Linked DNA regions of Rattus norvegicus. The protein of the gene in region 2 purifies or fractionates together with the protein of the main gene of each other region. This does not show direct contact. Links are inferred from orthologs where the notes say so. Each region holds a gene or a part of one and is shown on either strand. Other genes may lie near its edges.

The links. Proteins that work in one complex are often made in the same cells at the same time.
Region 1: the proteins of Nup133 (region 2) and Ahctf1 purify together in Homo sapiens (affinity purification with western blotting; 3 studies listed by BioGRID, with this or other methods). This does not show direct contact. The link is inferred for Rattus norvegicus from reciprocal best matches to the Homo sapiens genes NUP133 and AHCTF1.

Annotation. Positions count from the first base shown.
Region 1 is NC_086031.1:94,015,175-94,020,330, forward strand, and holds part of Ahctf1 (protein ELYS), read right to left. Parts: intron 2,219-5,156; coding exon 2,085-2,218; intron 1,113-2,084; coding exon 1,036-1,112; intron 353-1,035; coding exon 157-352; 3' UTR 1-156. UniProt on the Homo sapiens protein: Required for the assembly of a functional nuclear pore complex (NPC) on the surface of chromosomes as nuclei form at the end of mitosis. May initiate NPC assembly by binding to chromatin and recruiting the Nup107-160 subcomplex of the NPC.
Region 2 is NC_086037.1:68,831,476-68,836,631, forward strand, and holds part of Nup133 (nuclear pore complex protein Nup133), read right to left. Parts: intron 4,773-5,156; coding exon 4,654-4,772; intron 2,076-4,653; exon of another isoform or gene 1,956-2,075; coding exon 1,852-1,955; intron 140-1,851; coding exon 32-139; intron 1-31. UniProt on the Homo sapiens protein: Involved in poly(A)+ RNA transport. Involved in nephrogenesis.

The DNA.
Region 1 (5,156 bases), on a different chromosome or scaffold from region 2:
TAGAACTGCACTCCACATGGAGTTACTTATTTACTTGCTTACAAAATTGTACAATTTATATAAAGTATTTCCATCCAAATTGGGTGACTTTTAATAATCCACACAAATACTGTTGACTTTTACAAACAGGTGCATGTTAAAATCTTGGGCTAAAAATTACAGCATTTTCCTGCGTAAAATTTGCTTTGGAAAAGAAGATGGCTTCTTTCTGCCCCTTCCAAGAGTTTTTCCTGCTACTTCTGCAGTCTTTCTTGGCTTGCTGACCTTTATTTCATCCACCGGACTTGCCAAGGGAGAGATCAGTTTAATTTCTATAGGGGGAGGTGACCAAGAACTTCCTTTTCCTGTGTTTCTGAAAGAAAGACACAGTCAAGTAGGAATGGCCACAACGTGCTGTCTTGTCAAGTGTTTCACTCTCGCACAGATGTGGCTGACTTGTAGGCAGAGTTAAGGCTTCAATCTCCCACCCCAGCCCCATGTGTGCTGATACGAATACTTAGTCACAGATAGGTTTAAAATGCTGCTGTTAAAGGATGGCCCAAGGACCTAGTCAGCTCACAGGATGAGAGCCAGCAGACCCACCCATGCGCTTATCAACAGTAGCAAGTGGTGAGTCTATGAATCATGAACAAACACACAGACAAGTTTACATCAGAGCAGCGTCATTAAGTCAACTGTATCACAGTTATGAATGAATTTGTACCTTCATTAACTTTAGCCATGCCCAAGAGAACAGCATGAGAATCCTGTTACGCAGAGATATCTCAAGTGACTCAGTTACTGCACGCGCAGTAATATTGCTAAGTAGTGGAATGAACAGCTGTGGACTTTAATTAAAGAGCAAACTATCGTCTCATCCAACCATGCCCAGTGGACAATAAACTGTAAGTCTTCACTCTGTGGAGAATGCTACCTTCAAGCGCTGAGCTCTACCAAGGCTAAGCAGCCAGGCATGTGTGGGAAGTGGCCTCACCTTTTCTACTAATTCCTCTCAGTCTAGGGAATGGACGGAGAGGATGGAGGGATGCTGCTTACCTGCTCACTTTTGTCTTCACAGTCCTGCTTCTTTTTGGTTTTTGTTCTATGATTTCTACTGGTTTAGGGTTACTCTCCTATGGATTAGAAATTTAAAAATATATATTGTTTAAGCAATAAAGACTTTTTTGATTTTCTAGACAGGGTTTCTCTATTTCTGTCTCTGTGTACCCATGGCTGTCCTGGAACTCATTCTGTAGACCAGGTTGGCCTCAAATTCAGAGGTCCACCTCCTGCTTTGCTTCCTAAGTGCTAGGATTAAAGACATGCACCACTACGTCTAGCTGTAATTAAACATTCAAAGTATTGATTTAAAAAGTATCCTGCTCAGACAAGGAGTCAAGTATTGCTAAAAACCCTTAGATCCTACCCAGACAGACCCCTCTGCCATGTTTCTGAACGCCTGCACCTGTTGCTTTTTCTGCCAGAGAGGTCTCTCTCCTCTTCTCCTGTGTCCACAGAGGCACTCGGGCAGAGATGGCTTTACTCAGCGCACTACTTAGATCTACTGTCTCTTTAATTTTAAGGGCCACGGTTTTTATTACTATTGGATTGTTTGTTTGCTGTTGAGATGCATCCCGGGCTGGCTGAGGACTAAGCACAGAGCAGGCTGGAACTGAACGCAGAAGGAGGGCCTCCTATCTCATCCTAATGGGTAACTAGAAAATTACTGCTGCTCTGTCTCGATGATAGCAAACCTGAGCCCTTGGACTTTTGATATAAATGTAAATTACCTTGCTTAAAAATATTTATTATTTTTATTTCATATGTATGAATATTGGGCATCCAGGAGGCTAGAAGAGAACGCTGGATCCCCCAGAAACTGGAGTTAGAGGATGGGAGCTGGGAACTGAGTCCTCTGCAAGAACAGCCAACATAGGGGGAAAAAATCCTTTTTATCTCAGCTCTCAGAAGCCTGAGGCAAGATCATGACTTCCAGACAATCCTGGGGTATATAGTCTACTTCAAACACACAAACAAACGAACAAACAAATAACCCAATAAGCACAGAGAGTTTTAATAAATATATATATCCATGCCTTCCTTACCAATTCACCTAGAAGCTTGGAAGCATTGGATGTACTTTTCTGCCTGGTTCTCAAGGCAGGAGGGGAAACCACAAACCGAGAAGATATATCTGACACCAATTCTTTCAGCTGGGCAGCGGCCTCCATGTTTTTAGCTAAAGACAAGTGAGAAACAAACAAAACATTGACCTGTAACTGTCTGGTTTAAAAACAACAAAAGGCAATCATACATGTGGCAGCAAAAATCCTGGAACAAATGGTGCACATTAGAAAGACAAAAACATCCAAAGACAATATAAGCATACAAATTTATCACCCATTATCAGGAGACAGAAGTGATGGCAAAAACTTCTCATTTAAGTAAGCCCACTCACTGTCCATGACTAGTTCACGCTTCAAAGTCAATGCCATCACATCATAAAGACGGGACCAGGAAGCACAAAGCTATTGCTCACAAGTTTGACCCTCAGCTCCTCTCATTATGAGCAATTAACTCTAATGGGGGCGGGGGGTGGGATGTGGAAAAGTTCACAAAGTTAAAGTTGCAAAATAGTAGGAGGTTATATACAACACAGATGACTAGTTTAGCCACCCCTATCTGAATCATACAAAGGAAAAAAAGAAGGACAAGCAATGGAGGAACTAGCTAGGAGGAAGGGGTCAAAGGGTAAGGGAGGAGAGCTAAGTATGATCAAAATGTCATATAAATATATGGAAATGTGAAGCAAAATAGACATAATTACTACATGCAAATGAAGGCATTTTTAAAAATAAAGTGCCCGGGTGTGGGGCCCCACCTGCTCAGAGGAAAAGGGTAGGGGGAAGAATGGTGGGAGGGGGTGAGAGGGAGAGGGGCAATGAGAGGGATGTAGAGTAAGTAATAAAAAAGAAATGTAGCATGCACTCTCCTTTGAACCTTTTAAATAGTACCTCAGAGCAAAGGTGCTGTGATTACAGAAGCAGCAGAGATTACATGCCACTTTGAACTCACTACCCGTGCCTCAGCTAATAAAGAGTACGATTATAAACAAGTTCTGTGTGATATGCCCATCACTAAGACACAAAGAGAGACAGACACAAATAGACTGCTGACCAACATCAGACATCAAATCTTACTAGTATGACTTTGGCTGGGCATGACGGCCTAGACTTATAGCTCCAGCAGGAGGTAGGGGTAAGAAAAACAACAGGATTGGGGTCCAGCTGGCCTGATCCTATCTCAACTAAAACACCACTACTCACCAAAAACCCAACAAACCCAAACTCCAACCAAGGCTCCTCTGACCTTTTGTGTGTGCACTCACAAAAGGAGAAGCAGGAGTGTGTCTACGGAGGTCAGAGGACAGCCTTCTGGGCTGGTCCCCAGGTGCCTTCCACCTTGGTTGACGCAGGTCTTTCACTGGGACTTTACACTAGGTCAGGCTACTTGGCTCTCAAGCATCCTGCCTCTCCCTTCCTTCCCCCATTGTTGGGCTGTGTACCACGCCGGTTTCCTATATGAATTGTGGGGATCCAAACTCAAGTCTTAAAGGTTGAGTATCAAGTGCTTTACTGACTGAGTCATCTCCCTAGCCCATGAAAGCCGTGGCTCTTAACAAGAGGAATGCACTGGCAGCATCAGACAACTCCACTACCAGTTTATGATTAACAGAAATTATACCTCAGGCCACTGATGGCAAGACACCCTTCCTACTGTAAAAATACAAATCAATATTCACAACGCTTTAGGCTACCTGGAGCAACATCATAATCGTCGGCTTCTCAGAGCACCTCGGTCTCCAGTTAAGCTCCTCATGTACTTCTAGGGCTAACAAGAGTTTAGCTGGGGGTTGGGGATTTAGCTCAGTGGTAGAGCGCTTGCCTAGCAAGCGCAAGGCCCTGGGTTCGGTCCCCAGCTCCAGAAAAAAAGAAAAAAAAAAAAAAAAAGAGTTTAGCTGGCAGTGGTGGTGCACGCCTGTAAGCCAAGCACTTGGCAGGCGAATCTCTGTGAGTTTGAGGCCAGCCTGGTCTACAGAGCTAGTTCTTAGGGCAGCCTGGTCTACAGAGCTAGTTCTTAGGGCAGCCAAAGAAAGCTACAAAGAGAAACCCTGTCTCAAAAAAAACCAAAAAGGAATTTAAGAATTTAGTATCATGTTCAACATGTTTGATCTATTTATTCATGGTTTCTTTCACATGCTTCTTTTAGGGCGTGCATGAAATTTCACCATCTGTGAGAAATGCCTCATCCATCTCTGCAAACTTTTGAAAAACACTTCAACAAACAGAACTACTTAGGACTAAAAGTAAAAAATTACAAGACAAATCCAGAGCTGGAAAACAGCTCTCTGGGAGAGGGGAAGCTCGTGTCTGCAGCACTAGCTACCTTTTGTGGTCATATGATTCCACTGTGGTCAACTTCAAACAAAATGAGACCCTGGCTCTCAAATTTCTCCAGTACCTCCGGCTACCTAATAAAAGGTGCCTAGTCTAATATAACACCAGAACCCTTAAAACATGAAAATATCCCACAGGAGGATGCTCAAGCACCCGAGGAATATTAGTGATATGAAATGTCACACGTGACCAAATTACAATGTCATATATGCTCAGGGCTTTGAAGACCCTAAGTATTTAGGACCAGGGACCGTGGAGCGAGAACTGTGGGTAAAATGCCTGTTGTGTAAGCACGAGGGGAGGACCTGCGTCCAGATCCTGGCACTCATGTGTAATGTTGGACAAAGGGTAAGTGTCGACATTTTCAGTACTGGGAGGCAAAAGAAAGTGGGATCGGGAGGGTCCGCTGACCAGCCAGTTTAGTCAATTGCTGAGTTCCAGGTTCACTGGAAGACACCAATGGTCGATCTTTGGCTTCCACAGAGGCTAGCAAACCTGCTCTAACCACATACCTCAACCATGGGTTTCTGAAAATGACCCTCAACTGTAGCATGTGGTTTAACACAGAGTCTTGCCAAACTGGTGGCCCAGCTGCCTCGGCCTCCTCACTGGGACTACAGGTGTACACCATGCTTGGCTTATTTCATTCATTCTTTAGTAAGACCGTCCATGTACTAAAGCATGGAGTATCTAATTTTCTATAATAGATGTTTATTCTTA
Region 2 (5,156 bases):
GAAAGCCCCTTCATCATCTTTACGCACATACCTGAACAGAATGTACTTCACCTGAGGTTGCAGCATAAGACAGTGCCACCAAATCAGCACTCCAGTGGAAATCGCTAGGGGGCAGCTGGAGGTCTTTGCAAACAGACAACTGCAAGGCAAACACAGAGAGCAAACCCTTTACATTCCAGCCAGGGTGTTCATGCAGGCTCCTCTGATCCTCTGCAGACTCCATGAGTCCATCCTGAACACTATCCCACAATAGCCTTTCTATTCTCAGCTCTTTCTGACCAACAACAAAGCCAGGGATACTAAACTGGACTTCTATATGAACTAGCCTGTGCTTGTGCCAGGCCAAAGGTTCTATTGTACAAGTGGTTCTCAGCCTTCCTAATGCTGTGATCCTTTAAGGCAGTTCCTCATGTTGCAGTGACCCCCAACCATGAACTTATTTCATTGCTACTTCAAAACTGCGATTTTGCTGTTGTTAGAAATCATAATGTAGGGACTGGAGAGATGGCTCAGTGGTTAAGAGCACCCGACTGCTCTTCCAGAGGTCATGAGTTCAATTCCCAGCAACCACATGGTGGCTTACAACCATCTGTAAAGAGATCTGATGCCCTCTTCTGGTGTGTCTGAAGACAGCTACAGTGTACTTATATATAATAAATAGATAAATCTTTAAAAAAAAATCATAATGTAAATATCTGATATGAGACCCCTATAGGGTCATGACCCACAGGTTGAGAACCACTGGGCTAGGGGAAGTGGCCAGGTTTCCAGCAAAACTTTGCTAGCTGAGGTAATAATTTATTTGACTTGTAAAACTATTATAGCCATAGAGAAATTACACCAAGGTCTCCAAGGTTGAAAGCACCCTCTCAAACGTGGTGCTGGGCTTTCACTAAAACGTAGAAAGCACTCAGTTAACAGACAGAGCTGATCCTTCAGAAGAACCTCAACTGCAAGGAAGAGAGCACTGAGCAGCTTGTAGCATCAGAGAACAGTGTGAAAGGATAAATGAGAGGAGACGCCACCATGGCTAGGTGAGCTCACGGAAACGTGGCCCTGAGGGCCACCAACTGGAGTTCAGAGCAGGCCAGATGAAGTGCAATAAATTATAACTTGGTGTTATCAATAGGAAAATAGATTTTTAATACCACGGAGGGCAGACATCTGCCCAGCTCTCGTGCTGATTAAGGCTTGTTCTAAATATAAAGGTTGTGTGTCTTTTATCCAGGAACTCAATGGCCAAAGGCAGGGTAGAAACCCTGGACTGGAATCAAAATTTTCTACAACAATAGCCCAGAGCTCAGAGACAGTAGTGTCTCAAGTGCATGTTCATTTCTTTTGACCTGTAATCAATGGGTCTTTGGAGAAGGAAAAAAAAAAAAAAAAAACTAAAGATATCAATAAAAATAAAATATTAAAAGAGAAGATTTTGCAACACACTATAGATGTACATTCAGTATTTAATTATCCTGCTTTTTTATTTACTTAAAAATCTGGTGGTTTTCTTTAATTTTCTTTCTTTCTTCTATCCTTCCTTCCTTCCTTCCTTCCTTCCTTCCTTCCTTCCTCCCTCCCTTCTCACTGTATGCCTGCTCTGCTGCACGTACACTCACAGGCCAGAAGAGGACATCAGATCCCCTTACAGATGGTGAGCCACTGCGTAGTTGTTGGGAATTAAACTCAGAACCTCTAGAACTCTTCACCACTAAGCCATCTCACAAGCTCCCATATCCTGAATTCTCAATGCTTGCACAGACTGACTGGCTGTCCTCATAAACTTCAAAGAATAAAGGTGCAAATAAAGAGCCAGCTGGGATCCCTTTCCCGACTGGGTATCTGAAGGGCTATTACCTTAGTCACAGGGGACATAGCAATCTTCCAAACGAGGAGCTTCTCTTTGCATACTAGGCAGGCCCACCCACCTTCATCGACGTGGACAGAGAGCTGGTCGTCAGCTGAGGGGATAAGGCACACAGTTCACCCCATATCCAGACCACGAAAAAGTCGTTTCATCTCCTTATAGCAACATCTTTTTACCACATTAGTCACCAAGACAGGAAGCTGCATTACGGCTCCTGCAGAGGACCAGGGTTTGGTTACCAGCATCTACACAGTGACACACAGCCACCTATGACTCCAGTTCTAGTACCAGCATCTACACAGTGACACACAGCCACCTATGACTCCAGTTCTAGTACCAGCATCTACACAGTGACACACAGCCACCTATGACTCCAGTTCTAGTACCAGCATCTACACAGTGACATACAGCCACCTATAACTCTAGTTCTAGAGGAGCCAATCGACCCTTCTGACACCCACAGGTTCATAATCACACATGGTACACATATATACTTAGGCATACACAGAGGCAATTATCATAATATATTATTAAAATTAATTTAAAAATGCAAGTCACATAACTTCCAAATATTTAAGATTAATCTATCAAAAATGAGTTATTTAGTTCTGATAATTACTGTTAGAAATATATCCAAAGGCAAAAATTATTAGAGTATATGTTTAATACTCTTTAATTTTTGTTACAAAGAATATTTTTTTCTTAATTTTTTTTAAGATTTATTTTATATATATGAGTACACTGTCACTATCTTCACATACAGAAGAGGGCATCAGATCCCATTACAGATGGTTGTGAGCCACCATGTGGTTGCTGGGAATTGAACTCAGGACTTCTGGAAAAGGAGTCAGTGCAGTTAACCACTGAGCCATCTCTCCAGCCCTATTATAAAGAATCTTAGCTAGGCATGGTAGCACATGCCTTTAATTCCAGCACTCTGGACGTAGAGGCAGGTGGATCTCTTTTGAGTTTGAAGTCAGTCGGGTCTAACCCTCAAAAACCAGAGACAATTTTACTTCTGTAAGAATCACTTATAATTTGATAAACCAAACAATAACCCTCTTATTAACAACTATTTTCAAAGAAATTACCACATTCCTCCAAAAGAATATAATGTTCAAATAGAGCTCCTTAAAGATATGGTAAATCATTTCATCATAAGGAAACACAAGAGCATTGTTTACTATGGGAAAAAGTAAGTCAATTTACCACTGTGTCTAGGGAGTGGGGGTGAGCCTTCATAAATGTGTTCACAGCCTTGAGAATCTTATTTGAGCTTTGCTCTTTGCTTTTAGACAAGGTGGCAGTGCAAAGCACACAGCACTGGAAAGGAACATGCTAACTGTGTAAACATGCCCGAGCTGTGCAGGACTTTCTGCTGACCTGGAGCCCCTGTGCAGGAGTGTTCAGCCCCCACCCCATGCAGGTCTGACCCAACATTAGATGTGGTCAGACCTGCAATGTAGACAAGTTCTTCAAGTCTACACTGCTCTTGTCTGTAGCTCTCAACTTCTTGGGATTCCCTCCTGAATCCCTAGAGGGAGGCTACGTACTGTTTAAACACAGACATGGCATGACCCAGAAGTATGGTCAGAGATTTAAACTCAGTAAGAATTAAACATTTCAGGGTGACAAAAAGAGAATGAAGTGGGGGAAGGCAGGTGGAGGAGGACACAGGGCAGAGAGTAGCAGTGTGAGCATCACCATACCAAAAGCCTAAGGACTGGCAGCCAGGGTGGCTAAGCTGAGGGACAGTAAACGGTCCTTTACAACAGGACATTTTATCCTCGGCTACTCAGTGGGTAAGTGCCCACAGCTCAGGCTTCATGATCTGAGAGCTGCCCTCTGACCCCAACATGCTGGGACTGAACAGACCTTGAGTGATGTGACACACACAAATATAAAAGTTTTAAGTTAAAATGCTGAGAGATGGCTCAGTGGTTAAGAGCACTGACTGCTCTTCCAGAGGTCCTGAGTTCAATTCCCAGTGCCCACATGGTGGCTCACAACCATCTGTAATGGGATTGATGCCCTCTTCTGGTGTGTCTGAAGACAGGCACATGTATACTCACATACATAAAATACAGTTTTTAAAAAATGCTAAGATGCATTCTAAAACTTTGTCTCCCTTCAATGCTTGTCATGACCACCGAAGCCATTTCAGTCACAACCTGTAGTTTGCCAAACATCGTTCTAGAAAAATGCAAAGGTCCAGTAGACCTGTTAATGAAGCGACTTGGGCTGACATGATGGCATCTTGGTCTGCCCTTCCCTGTTTCTCTCTTCTTTCCCTGTGATTGACGCCTCCCAACTCTTGCATCATCTTTATGCCAGCAGAGGCTTTAAAGATATGATAATAACCCAATACTGACTTAATAACAACCCAATGAGTCTACCACATGACTTGTAGGACACGAAACCCCATAGGCCTGTCACATGACTTATGGGACACTACACAGCACTCAGAACCCAGAACTGGAGGCAGAACTTGACTCTAAAACACTATTTAATCTAACAACGCAAGGTACTGCACTTTGGATGATTCTATAGCTAAATTCCCTATATCTAATCAACTCAAAAGTTGGGGATATAAGGGACTGAAGTACACACATCGTTCTTAGAATCACTGGTGTAACTGTGTTAGAAAGATTCACTCAGCTTCACAGACCAGTGTCTTAGGGATGAGGAGAACTCAGCAGGCTGCCTACTTCTCTACCAGACAAAGCCAAAGTGTTATCACATGTGACCTGGTTATTGACCAATATGGGGACAAATGAAAAGACAACACCTACCCTCAGCCATCGCCAGGGCTTCCATGATCTTAACAGGGAGCGATGATCCAAACACTCTCACGTCATAGTTCACAGACTCTGATATGGAGTGGTAGGGGAATATCCGAGTAGGCGTTCCTCTAAAGAAAGAGACCATGTTGGATCACCTGTCACCAAAAATTCCCCATTATCCTTGCCTTTACACACCTATTCCAGCTACCTCTGATGAGGTGTAACGGTGAAAGACACCAGCCTGACTGTACTGTACAGTAGAACTCACGGAACTGTCTACCTCTAATGAGGTGTAACGGTGAAAGACACCAGCCTGACTGTACTGTACAGTAGAACTCACGGAACTGTCTTATTTTGCTTCCCATTGCTGTGATACAGACCATGAGCAAAGCAACTTGAGGAGGAAGGAATTTATTTCATATTTCCAGGTCACTGCCCATCACTGAGGGATGTCACGGCAGGAAGTCGCCCAAAGCAGGAACTGAGGCAGGGCCATGGAGGAATGGTCTTTC